Lepisosteus oculatus: one gene and its partner. The protein of the gene in region 2 purifies or fractionates together with the protein of the main gene of each other region. This does not show direct contact. Links are inferred from orthologs where the notes say so. Each region holds a gene or a part of one and is shown on either strand. Other genes may lie near its edges.

Region 1 (7,022 bases), on a different chromosome or scaffold from region 2:
ATATAGTTCAAACCTGTTGAAAGAGTACTGCTCTCTCTGCGCTGTCTTGTGAAAAGCACGTTTGTCTTGATTTTCTCAACAGTGGGGGTGGCCTCTCTGGGGCATTGCTGTGTTTTACATACTATATTCTGCAGGAGTCCACATTTATTTCCCAAATATGACTAGATCCTGTTTACCTACATCTCCTGCTTACAATGGCCACCTTCCCTGGGTCATCCGAGTCACTTTCTGGTCTAAAGAAATCAAAAGGCAAGAGTTATTAAGACCTTTTTTTCTTTCTTTCTAATATTCCCTTACATTTTCTCAGTTTTGTTTCTCAGGTTCCCTGCCATGGTGTTTATACAGGCTCTCTTAGTTCAGATGGGGTTTTGCTTTCGAGTTCGGGTGGTGGGGATGAGGGGTGTGCCGGGGGGCTCCCAGGCAGCGTGGACACCCCCGGCACTGGAAACCTGAGCCCCAGCTCAAAGCAGAGCAGAGGGGCCAGCAGAGCACCCCTCCGCCATCGCTGGGGTTGGGGCTAGCTTTCTTACCAGCGCCCCGCCAGGTCAGAGCACCTCCGCGCCGCTGCGCAGCACCAGCTCCCCGGCCGGGCGCTGGGGAGGAGGCAGGAGCGAGGAGCCCGTCTGGCCCTCCTCGTCCTCCCTGGGCTGGACTGGAGGTGGGGTCCGAGTGTAGAGCTAATTCGCCCTTTATAACGAGTACATTTGAATTCTTATTCACGCCTGTACTCTCAGCGTACAGACGGGTAAAGAGAACAATACTGTTTCTATTTAAGCCAGTACTACAAAATAATAATAATAATAATAATTAATAATTGCTTACACTTATATAGCGCTTTTCTGGACACTCCACTCAAAGCGCTTTACAGGTAATGGGGACTCCCCTCCACCACCACCAATGTGCAGCATCCACCTGGATGATGCGACGGCAGCCATAGTGCGCCAGAACGCTCACCACACATCAGCTATCTGTGGGGAGGAGAGCAGAGTAATGAAGCCAATTCATAGAGGGGGATTATTAGGAGGCCATGATTAGTAAGGGCCAATTGGAAATTTGGCCAGGACACCGGGGTTACACCCCTACTCTTTACGAGAAGAGCCCTGGGATTTTTAATGACCACAGAGAGTCAGGACCTCGGTTTTACGTCTCATCCGAAGGACGGCGCCTGTTTACAGTATAGTGTCCCCATCACTATACTGGGGCATTAGGACCCACATGGACCACAGGGTGAGCGCCCCCTGCTGGCCCCACTAACACCCCTTCCAGCAGCAACCTTAGTTTTTCCCAGGAGGTCTCCCATCCAGGTACTGACCAGGCTCACACCTGCTTAGCTTCAGTGGGTTGCCAGTTGTGAGTTGCAGGGTGATATGGCTGCTGGCAAAAGAGAGTATCTTCCAGTATACAGTAAGATACAACACACAGTATAGAAAACAATATACAATTTACAGTCTTGTATGCAGTGTAAAAAAATACAACATTCTACTGTAGGCGGTAATTGATAGCAGTCAGTCTGCATTTAGCTGTTAGTTAGCCTGAGTACTGTGGGCCCAAGCCAGATGCTTGGAAATCTGCAACCCTAAGATACAAAGCAAAGGTTCCCAATCCTGGTCCTAGAGGCCCACACACCTGGTTTTCATTCCAGCTGCATTTAATTACTTAATTGAAGGCTTAATTGAATTAAATAAGGTGCTTGATTGGAATGTTTGCGGTGCTCTCTAGACTCAAGAGTTTGGAATTTGATTTGAGTTAGGAAATGCAGTAGTTAAAAGGCTACCTCCCACAGGGTAACATCTGACAACAGCCACACAGTTCAGATTAATCCTGTGTGATGAAGTCCATTACAAATCCAATCATGTAACTGACGACGAGGATGAAAGAACAACCCCCAGGACCGAGGCTGGGAACCGCTGGTGTTAAGAAGCTCCAAAGTGTGTGTGTTTAAACTTAAAAATGACCGATATGTGTGTGTGTGTGTGTACAGGGAGGAAGGGGGCAAAATCCGTTTGTACGTGTCGCAGCGCACAGCGTTCCTAATTACTGAGGACACTGACATGGTGCAGATTGTACTAAGGCATCAACCTGGTGGCCTTCACACGACGGGTGTAACAGAGCACACATTGTGAACAGCTGTTCCCTGGTTTTTTTGGGGGAAGTGTGGAAATAAACTTTTCAAGAGTGTGGTGTGTCGTTTTAACCTGTCTGGCTATTTTTATTTTAAATGCAGTGTAGTGTGGCACATTACAGTCCCCGAACAAGTCGACAAAGGAATGTGTGGTTGTGTGATGTGAAGACGGCTACGGTACACCCCCCTCTCTGATTTTACACCAGTAAGAAAGGTATGGAAATGAGGAGAGGCTGCCCCCCCGGCCTCAGTACAAGCATCTCATCTGCAAGAAAAGGCTGAATGAGATCCTTGGATTGATTCATCCAATCAGCCCTTAAGCCCTTTGTATAAGTACCCTCTTCTACCCTCGCCTTTCCCGTTAGGTGTATTTTCATTTCTTCTACCACCTGCTTGTGAGACCCTGCCCCCATCTGCATTAAATGTGTCTGCCCAGATACAAACTGTCCCTAAGTGCTTTTTGAAATGTTATTTGCTGCTTCTTCAAATGAGGGTTAAACTCTTAACCCAGCTGGACCAAACACTAGCCCACCTCTGGCTCTCACAGCTTCTGTATCCCGGCAACACTCGCCAAGAAGGGGCGGGCCACTGTTAACGCCCCATCTGTTTTTGCCCACGTTGCTGTATTAGAAAGTACGAGTTGGCTCTTGTCAAAACGGCACCGTCAATAAGCCACATGCGACATGCTGATGTCTTGACTCACTCCTTGAGTGTCTCTAGCTGCCCCGTGCGGCTTCACTGAGCTCTTGATGTGAATAGAGGCTCCAGCCCGCCTGGAGGTCTGGGCCGAACGCGCTCGTGTGGCCCTCGGTCAGACTCGCTCTCCGGGGTCCCGTCTTCCAGCGGGAGACCTCCTCAGCCCCAGCGGCCTGTGAAGACTCCCACCCTGCCTGGAGGTGAACGCTAGGGTATCGGCGTGACCCAGAACCTCTAGGGGGCGCCCTACCCTCGGGTCCACTGTTTCCAAACCAAACCTTCAGTGTGGCTTCAGGGAGCACTGGGACGGAGGAGGTGCTGACCTCCGAACGAGACATTTAGCTCAGGTCCTGACCACCCGTTTCCCCACTGCTTTATCCACTGCAAGGTCATGGGGGAGCCCGAGTCTCTCCCAGAAAGCTCGGGACACCCTGGGTGGGATGCCGGTCCATCGCAGAGGTCCAGACTGCTTGGGCATAACAAAATTCTCATTTTTGCCTCGAATTTTTCAAAAACTTTAAGGGTGTTAGTGCCAGTATCCTGAATTGAAGCACACCGGTCTCTCGTACAGTCTGGTCTCCCTGCAGTCTCCCTTAATGGAACTGGTGATGCGGTTTCTCATTCCTCCCCCTGAACTGATGCGATTCAGAGGAGAAGGAACTGGTTCCTGTTGTGTGGGAAGCGCTCCGGGATAATCCACAGGGATGAGAAGTACTATATGCAAGCAAGGAATTATAATTTAAAGTGACATGAATGAGAGATGACTACGCAAGTCAAGCTCTACCTTGCAATAAATATGCACATCCAGCCCCAGCCCTGGAGACGTTATTCTAATTGGGGATGTCACTGACAGGTAACAAATGAAAGCGGGTCATACGGTCAGTAAAGACCGAGGATATCCGGCTTTAGTCTGCACACGCAAAACAATAAAAATAAAATTAAACCGGGGGAGAGGGATCAGTGGACGCTGCCAATTCGTGAAACGAAAAATGATATAAAGTGTTGCTAATTTTATGCAAACCGGTTAGAGAGCCGTGTCATTAGTGAGCTGTCTTTGCAGCTACAGCGCACACAGGCGCGCGCGGACCCTACCCGCGAGTCCCGCTGCCGAGCCTCGCGCCGGCTCACGTGGTGGTGGTGGTGAGGGGGGGGGGAGCGGGCGCACCACGGCCACAGGACCTCGGTAGTCCTCCGACTTCCTGTAAATAGTGCGCCGGCCCGCAACGCCGGCCCCGGCGTTTAAACCGACCCCCAGCTCAAAACCCCTCTTCCCCCGATCGGGTTCACTGAAAACCCCAGGCAGGCTGCGCTAATCTGGCCCCCAGGAGAGCTGTTAGGCGGCTGGAAGGGGAATTTGGTGGATGTACGCAGCATTGCGCCCTGGATATATCCCTCCGCTGTTTTTTGTCTTCTCTCAGACTGTTTTGGTCCCTTCGCTGATAGCAACGGAGAGAGACGCCGAAGAAGCCGAAAATCCTGTCTGTTGTCGCTAAAATACAACACAACGGGACAGGAATAACGCTTTCATTAGCTGAGGATCATCGACGTACTGTCTTTTAAAGAAGAAATAGTCTGTATTTTTTAATTGCGAAAATTAGTCGTCGGTAGTGTCATCGTTATTTTAGTTGTCTCTTTTTTTTTTTAGGTTGTATCCTTTACCAGACATTAGCCGATATACCGTTAAGTACGTTGTTTTTTTTTTTATGGGATCATCGTCATGTCCATGAAGCAGGCCGGAGGTAACCGAAAACCCGGCGGCGGCCCCGCTGCGGCCTCTGGTGCCGGGGGAAGCGGGGGAACCGGCGGACGGCAGAGCCTGGGCAGGTCGGTGCTTTCAGATCCCTTGACACCCCGCCGGCCGTGTCCCGGGAGCCGCGTTAACGTGGGTTGCCCGGGGGGGTTTTGAGGTTTGGGGGGTGCGAAGACGTGAATGTCTGTTGAAATAAATGTGAATGCTCGGGCCTAGCGCACCTTTCCGGGCCTCCTGCAGCAGCACGCAGCCTTCGGCTTTTTTTTTTTTTTGTCGCTGGTCAGCGTTATTGAAATGCCTCCTCGGTGGGAGCCGTGCCCCACGCCGGCTGGCGATTTCGCTGCGCGTTTGCCGTGGTCGGGCCCGGCCCGAACCTGCACGCCTCGCCTGCCTTTCACGGAGGTGTGTCTGCGGGCGGGACGTGAGCCCGTAGGCTGGACCGGTCCCTGCCCGCGGTGGGGTAGCGGGCGAGGGCCGGCGTGTGCCCGCTGTGTGGCGGGTTGCAAGAGGCTGCGTGCCCGGGGCGGCTTCTGCGGAGCCGCGGCGTCGGTCGCAACCGGACCTTCAGCATCTGGTGTGTGTGTGTGTGTGAGGACGAGAACCGGCACGGCCGTGCAGTCGGTGCGCTTTGCCTTGGCCGAGGCGTCAGGCGCTGTTGCGTTGCGCACACCGGCGTGAGAGCTTCACGTTTGAAGCGAGGGGCCCTGCTCCGCGCCCAGCCCTGTACCTCTGCGGCAGCCCGGTAGCCGTACAGGCCTTTCCCCACCCCAGCTAAGAGCTGTTAACTCTGCCCCCAGTGTAGCCAGCGATGCCTTCGGGGGGAGCCGCCAGACCCGGGCCGGGGCGCATCCGTGCAGCCGGAGCGGCCTTGCAGAGTTGCCCACCCCCCCATTTTAAATCCACTCGTGGGCCACATCCCGGCTGCGATCCGGGCTTCCCCTCTGACGCCGCCGTCAGTGTTTGAACGGGGTGCAGTGTTTTCTAGCGGCTTTGCCCTGAATCTGCTGGGTGGTGGGTGGGGAGACTGACCTGTGCTGCAGGTTTCGTGGAGGAGGGCAAGGGGTACCTTGAAGCGTCTTGCTGCATGGGCCTGCTCTGGCTGGTAACCTTTCATGCCGTTTTCCGCCTCGTTTTGTCTGTGCAGTGTTACCTTCTTCTCTACACGATGCATTAACAAGTGTGTATCGCTGTGTGAGGGAGGTGGGGTGGATTGAACAAATTACACTCGTGAATGGAGAGGCAGACCATTTTTTTTTTAAAGGAAGGTGGAGATCCTGTTGCGAGCGCTATTCCGGCCGATTTCAGTGAAAGCTGATTTTTTTTTAGAAAAAAAGGGTTTTCGGCAGCGGCTTCTGTTGTGACCTTCTCTTGTGCGGAGGAATAATGTTGGGGTTGCGTTATTGCTCACAAGTGGCGTTTTGAATCGTGTCTGGAAAAATGACTAATGAAGCTCTCTGCAGTAAGGTCTGGTTTGAATTCCCGGTCAAGGAGTAGACACGGTGATGTTTTCATCAAGTAGTTTAGATCAGGAACTATTAACCTATTGAGTCAACAAATACCTTTACTGAGCTGATAAAAGGGCGCAGCTGAAGCCCTGCATTTGAGTGCTTTGACATGAATGCTTTTAAAGGTGTAGTGTTAATATACTGTGTCAGTGGCCCGGTTTTGAGCTTTGCCTCCAGGAAAAAAACCCAGGGCGCCGAGTTGGGGTACGTGGGTGTACCTGCTGGGGCTTATTGAGTGGGCGAACTTGTGTTCATTGCTGAAATGGAGAGCCTTGCTTATCCTTACAGGTTCTTGGGGAGGCTGTGGAGAGCAGCTGACAACTTTCACCTGGTTTGTGTGCTTAGGGAATCGGATTGATCAAGATAATGCCTGGTTTATGCACTATTTGTAGTGAACTTGATTTCGATTTTATTTTACTGGGTGGCATGCTTCTGGGCAAACGCCTAATGAAAAAAATCAAAGGACGTCACTAATGACTGGTTTTCAGTTTGTCCTTGAGTAATGTTAATATACTATAGTTAAAATAAGATTAAGCCCTGTACTTCCATGTTAACTTCTTTTACTGAACTTCAGAATAATGTTGGAGGGGTTATTTCAGTGGTACTGTATCCCCATACATCACAGTTTTTATGTTTCTCACTTCTCACAATGATCAAATTTCCAAAGGCACTTCAAGGTCATTTTTATTTTTATTGGTGTTGGAATTTCGTCTCTAAGACGCTAAATTGGGATGTTTTAATTTAGCCAACCAGTCCATTGGAGTGGGGAGAAGCTCAGTTTCTAAAGCTGGAGCTAACAGTAGGGTTTTTAAAAATGACTTTAAAGGAGCACTTGACTATGCATTAGAAGCATTTTCTTGGTGATGCATTGTTTTTAAAGCTGTCACGTCATAATAGTTTAATAGCCATGAAGTCTAATGAATGGACCATAAATACATTATCTATTCTC
Region 2 (6,904 bases):
CTGCAGTTCACCTGATTATGTCCCATCCAATACACAGGGGATCTTTCTAGTGGCAGTTAGCACTGAAATACAAATCTGTGCTATTCCATTACCGTGCTGTCCAGTGAGCTCACAGGCACGCTACACTCCCTACACGTGTTAGACATGGTAGGAGTGAGCCAGTCGCTCCAGCCCAGCAGGCCAAATGCAAGACTAAGGTGAAGGTAGAAATGAGAACAACCACCCCACGCTTGCGCTGAAAGCGACCCTAGTCTGTCCACCACAAGCAGCTTTAAAGGAGCGAGAGAGGGCCTGTGGTGTCTTTGGAAAACAATGTGCGATCTATGGTGATAATCTGACTGATCTTGTGCTGTGACGGCGCCAGAACTGTTCTCTTTTTGAAAACAAAAAGGGGCAACGCTCCACTAAAACCCCATGTGATCGATTCTCCCCGCTGTTCGCGTGGCGCAGTGGGACCCTCTCCACGCCGCGGTTCAGGAGTGGTGGTGCTGATGCACACGAACTCAACGTCTGCCCTCACGCCAACTTGTTTTTTTTAAAAAAACTACACGAAGCGTAGCGTTCTCGGCCTCCCCGCTTCGCCATCATCCCCATTACGCGTCGGTTTGGCTTTTGCGAGCGACTTAAGGCGACTCCGCAACATGTTGCTGGGATTTGCCAAGAAGCGTGGAAGAGCTCGCTCCGCCTCGCGTGGCGCTTCCCCGGCTGCCGGAGCTCTCGGGCACGCGAGATCTCCACAAACTGCACGAGCAGCAGTTCTTCCGCCTCAACACGTTCCTTCTCCTGGTCGGCTAAACGCTTATTTAAAACAGATTAATCGCCCCCCAAATACCAAAAGTGTCCACATACACACACACGGCTTCCTATGAATGATATATGTGTACATACAGCTCAAAAGCATGGCCACTATTAATAAGAGCACAACCAGCCTCACGAAAACGGGTACACGGGCAAATATCCCGAGGAAAATGAAGATGCTATACGAGGGAAGAGGGTAACTGAGACCCGTGGTATTTCATTATCGACTACAACAACCTTCCCAAAAATAAAAAAGTATGTGCTACCAATTTTGGACAAAAACGTAAACTGGGTCAGTTCTCCAAGTTAACTAAAAAACCATCTTAAAGCATTGAGGTGCATCTGTAACTCGCGGCTTTATTTTAAACATTTTTCATTTACTGTTCCGTTTTCCTATTTTACGTGAAAAACGAAAATGACTGGGCACCCCGTCTCCGGGCGGGCGGCTGTCAAGTCCTCTCTGCTGCCGACAGAGGAGACGGGTCTCCGGCGCGGCCTTGCACGGAAGGACACCGTCCCAGGACACTAAAAACACGACACTGGTTTGATCGGATCTTTGGAAGATTCGTCTTTGCGGGTATTTTGCTGCATTTTTGTTGAACACCGGCTCTCCGATTGTAGGCCCCCCCCGCCGCCGCCGCCTCCGGAACAGCAGAGAGCAACAGGGCCCACAGACTCAAGGAGAGCGATCCGGGGTCTCAGTAAAATACTACGCTGGCGCCCACTTTCACCACACAAAACGAGAAAATCAATCCCCTGAACTTCCCGGGGGTGCCACGACGGCACCGACAGCTGTAGAAAGTCATGGTTTGAGAGCCCGGTGCTGGGATTTTCGCTACCAACATGGCGGACAGGAAATAGCAGCCGAGTAAACTGAGGAAAAGCACATTCCAGCGGAGCCGGCTTGTGTTGGTAAGGGGGGAGACGAGCACTCAAAACCCCGCGATTTTCTCAATTAAAACTGGCCCTTTCGCACGACCCACCCCGAGACAGTTCGAGAAAAGAGTCTTTTACTGTAAACCAGCGTGCCAGGCGGCGTCCGCCCTCCTTAGATACGTCTAAAAAAAGTGACCAGGAATCGCTGCTAACCGGCAGCACAAGGTCAATCTCCATATTACAGACAGCTACCCTCCGCCGTCTCACAGTGGAGACTCACGCACCCAACTTCCAGCTCAAATAATTCCCCATCTTCAGCTGTTTCTGGCCTTAGCTAAGCAAACCCGACCTGTTTTCTTCGCCTGCGTTTCCTGGTGGTGGTGCTGGCAGTGGCTCGGCTCATTTTTCAGCGTTTTCCTGGGCCGGGTCGGGCTCCTCTCTCCTCCATGGTGGTAGCGCTGCTGAGGTGCCCGCACGCTGGGCTGTTCCTCCATTGAAGTGTAGCAGGAGACTCCCCGGCTCCGGCCAGTGCGCACTGCTCACCGGGCTCACCGAGCGAGAGAGAGTGGGGGGGGTGCAGGACCGCGGCCCTACCCAATCGACGCCGCGACCCCAGCGCTGCCTCGCTTGGTCTCTGCTGCTGCCGCTCCGGCGAGAGGCTGGACCGAGAGGATCAACGTCAGCAGTCAGCCGGTGGAAGTAGCGCCGTCGGCACCGCTCTCCTCTCACACCAGGCGAACCGTGCGTGTAGCGTGTGCAGGCACGGGGCTCTTTCGCTTTGACGTTCCTCGCCGGTCTCACGGTCTTCCCCGCCGAACATGCATACTGTACATGCTTTTAAATAAAATAAATACCCCTTCGTCTCGGTCTTGGAGTGCTCGGTGGCGGAGTCATATTAACATTTTTTTTTACTTCGATACTTAGTCATACACGCAGGTAGCAGTTAAATACCTTGATAGAGAGGGGGTGCATTATGTACCCAGCCCGCATTCCTGCATTTCACCCAATTTTAGGTGTAAAGTTTAATTGCCTGAACCCCCCCTCCCTCCTCCTCTCTCTCTGTCTCTCCACCCCCTTGTAGCGAGTTTTCCAGAACGTTACTTCAGCCTGTTACACGGTAACCCATTTTTAAACTTCTCGTCGTCACGTGTATATGACTCAAGGGACCCAGGCTGTCTCGGCGTCTTCTTATAGACCGGCTTACAACTCACTTACTGGCCCAGCACCTTCGGAAACGTGTTTTTACTGTACGGTATTCACAAAGACCCGGCACCTTCTGACCCGGTCTCTCGTCACATGAGCGTGACGCTCACGCTGGGCAACCTCTCCCCCAAACACAGTCCTGAAAAACAAGTGTTTCAGCGTGCATGCATCTATACTTATTACCCATACGTGCGATTCTAAATGTTATGTTCTTGTATATTAATCAGTCTCCAACCTATAGCACTTAAGGACTATTGTGACAAGGTGACCGAAGTTAAAATATAGGCTAATTGTCATAGCGCAGAGAAGAGATGCTGGTTTTTGTTTTTTAGAAAGGTTGGTTTTCCTCCACGAAAAGAGATCACTCGGGTGTCATTAAGCACGTGTGGCTGACTAAGCGAATACCGGCAGTTCCTTCGAAATCAGGTGGTTTGCTAATAACACGCAGAGGGGTCGCAATCATCCCTCTATTAATGCTTTTAAGGTAGAATTCCTCTTTTAAATCTTTAAAAACAAAACAGCTCCTCCTCTCCTCCTGTGACGTATATGAACAATCTTAGATTCAAACACCACCCAGGTGCTGTAAGACGCCGCGAATTGTAAGCAAGTAACTACGCGAAACTGCTTTGCTTTATTTAAAGAGCAATAAGATGCATGTTTCAGCAAAAAAAAACATTTCAGTTCAGCATTTTTAAACATCCTTTTAAAAAAATGACGCTACGCCCAATTCTGAATAGGGCGCAGAATGAGATTACTGAAGGCAATCTTCAAGTAGAATAAAGGATTATAGGAACAAGTAATAGGTTTATTCCATGCTGAAAACAGGAAGAAAGAAAACAACGTTTCGGCCGTGGAGCCTTCTTCAGAATTGGGGGTAGCGTCATTTTTTGATACCAGATTATATACCAGTAAAATGTGATGAATGAAGCGGCAGTTTAAGGGTGCTTCTGCAGTTCCAGTAAGAGAAAGTTTATATTACACGTGTATAAATATAATGAGTATACAGATTTTTAAACAACATGTTTGCCTTAGTTAATATTTTTTCCCGAATACGCCCCGGTCCGGCGGTATCACATTAGCAGTAGCCCTTATGAATAAACCTATTACTTGGCCCTTATGAACCGATGATCCAATAATCATATTTAAAAGGCACGATTATATAGAGCGAACAGTTTAATAACAGTTCAAGTGCTCAGGGCTATGGTAAAGAAGCCGCTGAAGAGCGCTAGGAAGGTATAGGGATACCGAGGACGACGATCCTGCAGAAGCAGTTGCAGCTCTAGTCCGGTCCGCCGGAACAGCTATTTGTAGAGACATCTAAGACGCCACCACCCACCCCCTTTCCCATTATAACCAGGCCCGCACCTGCTGCTTGTCACACACAATCAGGAGCGGGGTCGTCAGGCTCGGGGAATGCCGGGCTGGGGCACCGCGGGCGAAGCTTAATGAAAGATCCCTCGTTCTGCCGGAACAAACTCTTCGGCGTGCTCAATGGGAGGCGGGGGCGCGTCCCGTGAATGTAGGGTGAATTTTAGAAGGGGCGCCCCTTTTGTGAAGTCCGACACCCAGTTACACAGAGCTGCGCTTCCAAACGGCAGGAGACGCTCTTGTGAAATAACGGCATTCATAGGCAGGGCCATCATTTAGAGAGACATCCACGCTTTATTTAAATGTGGGTCTTGCCTGCCTATATTGTTAGTACATTATAGCTAGGTTCAATCGCAAGGATGCGATTTTCAAAACATAAGCAGGTCTAAGACATGCTAAGAAAACTAATGGTAGCAGCCGAAAACGGCGCTGTGTCACGCCACGAGTCACCCTTCACTGAGTTCATACTGGGTGAGCAGCACAGGCGTTTTGAGGAAACAAACAGAGCGCATTTTCCATGGCGAGAGGACAATCGTGATTCACACAGAACATCCTGGAATACAGGACGTATTGGCTGTTTGCTTTTCAAAACCCTTCTGCACAATCTCCATGCTCCGCGGCGCCCGCATTCCTCACACCCAGAGTACGGTCTCACCTGCACATGAATCACCGCTGCAGGTACAGCACCTGTCCCCTGCGGTCCAACAGCTCTGCTGTCCTCTACTGCCTCCTAGAGGCTGTAATACGAAGATTTTTATAGATATCAGAATGAGAAAATAATCATCATCATCATCAGTATCATCATCATCATTGCTTACACTTATATAGCGCTTTACAGGTAATGAGGATCCCCTCCACCACCACCAGTGTGCAGCCCCACCCGGTATCACCTGACTTAGTTCAACTTAACTGCACCACAGTAGGTCACTTTAGCGTATATTCACTTGCTAAAACATTTTGTGTGTGCACGAAATTTCGAATGAAGTTTCCTTGTATCTGTCTGATACAGTTAAACTCGGGAAAACATCACACGCTCTATATTATAACCACCAGAAATGACAGGTTAATTGCTTTTAATAATAAAAACAACCCAACCCAGGGATAAGCTCCAGCAGCTGCAACCTTTCCCAGGAATAATAATTGATTTCAGATTTTAGAAGGACGGATGGAAAAACCGCTGCATGACTGAAAGACTCCCCCTGCTGGCCAAGGTTGTAACTGCGCTTCCTGGCGGCCCCCCTCGCTTCTACGGAAACTGCTGACGTGCCGCCTTCCTGGCGGTTTCACAACCCTGGTGACTGTAGAAGAAGCTGATTTCGCCTGTAATTAAAGAAGAGGAACAAAAAAACATAAACAAAATAAAAAGGACGTAAAAATTAGGCTCATGTATAAATCACAACCATCTAACATAATTTTTGAAAAAATAATAATTCTGGCATTCACACAACAAATTCAGATCCAGGCCTCCTTGCAGGACACTGTTGTTTTTGCAGTCTCCCTTTCTGAGCTTGGTGTTTTGCTGCATACAAATTTACTTCCTCTCAGTTCTCAGGGACCACAGTGCCCTGAATCTATAATTCAATGCACTGAATTAATGTGAAGAATTTCTGTTTTGGAGTCGTTTGCTCCACACAAGAAAGGGGTGACTTTTTTTTCTTTGGTTTGTTCATCACCAAACTTTTCTTCAAGCACTGCAGCTTTCCATAACAGCTTGCAAACTGCACAAAGTAATTTCCATCTCACAGAGGGTCACGATTCGCTGCACAGGTGCTTGAATTTAGGAAAGACGACAGTATACAGTGCCTTGCGAAAGTATTCGGCCCCCTTGAACTTTTCAACCTTTTGCCACATTTCAGGCTTCAAACATAAAGATATAAATTTTTTATTTTATGTGAAGAATCACCAACAAGTGGGACACAATTGTGAAGTGGAACGAAATCTATTGGATTTTTGAAACTTTTTTAACTAATAAAAAAATGAAAAGTGGGGCGTGCAAAATTATTCGGCCCCTTTACTTTCAGTGCAGCAAACTCACTCCAGAAGTTCAGCGAGGATCTCTGAATGATCCAATGTTGTCCTAAATGACTGATGGTGATAAATAGAATCCACCTGTGTGTAATCAAGTCTCTGTATAAATGCACCTGCTCTGTGATAGTCTCAAGGTTCTGTTGAAAGCGCAGAGAGCATCATGAAGACCAAGGAACACACCAGGCAGGTCCGTAATACTGTTGTGGAGAAGTTTAAAGCCGGATTTGGATACAAAAAGATTTCCCAAGCTTCAAACATCCCAAGGAGCACTATGCAAGCGATCATCTTGAAATGGAAGGAGTATCAGACCACTGCAAATCTACCAAGACCTGGCCGTCCCTCTAAACTTTCAGCTCAGACAAGGAGAAGACTGATCAGAGATGCAGCCAAGAGGCCCATGATCACTCTGGATGAACTGCAGAGAACTACAGCTGAGGTGGGAGAGTCTGTCCATAGGACAACAATCAGTCATACACTGCACAAATCTGGCCTTTATGGAAGAGTGGCAAGAAGAAAGCCATTTCTCAAAGATATCCATAAAAAGTCTCGTCTAAAGTTTGCCACAAGCCACCTGGGAGACACCCCAAACATGTGGAAGAAGGTGCTCTGGTCAGATGAAACCAAAATCGAA

What was found. The genes of interacting proteins can lie anywhere in the genome.
Region 1: the proteins of nufip2 (region 2) and atxn2 purify together in Homo sapiens (affinity purification with mass spectrometry; 3 studies listed by BioGRID and IntAct, counting the BioPlex papers as one, with this or other methods). This does not show direct contact. The link is inferred for Lepisosteus oculatus from reciprocal best matches to the Homo sapiens genes NUFIP2 and ATXN2.

What each region holds. Positions count from the first base shown.
Region 1 is NC_090717.1:12,985,550-12,992,571, reverse strand, and holds the start of atxn2 (ataxin-2), read left to right. Parts: upstream 1-4,002; 5' UTR 4,003-4,535; coding exon 4,536-4,642; intron 4,643-7,022. UniProt on the Homo sapiens protein: Involved in EGFR trafficking, acting as negative regulator of endocytic EGFR internalization at the plasma membrane.
Region 2 is NC_090721.1:9,006,114-9,013,017, forward strand, and holds the start of nufip2 (FMR1-interacting protein NUFIP2), read right to left. Parts: upstream 3,020-6,904; 5' UTR 2,169-3,019; coding exon 2,024-2,168; intron 1-2,023. UniProt on the Homo sapiens protein: Binds RNA.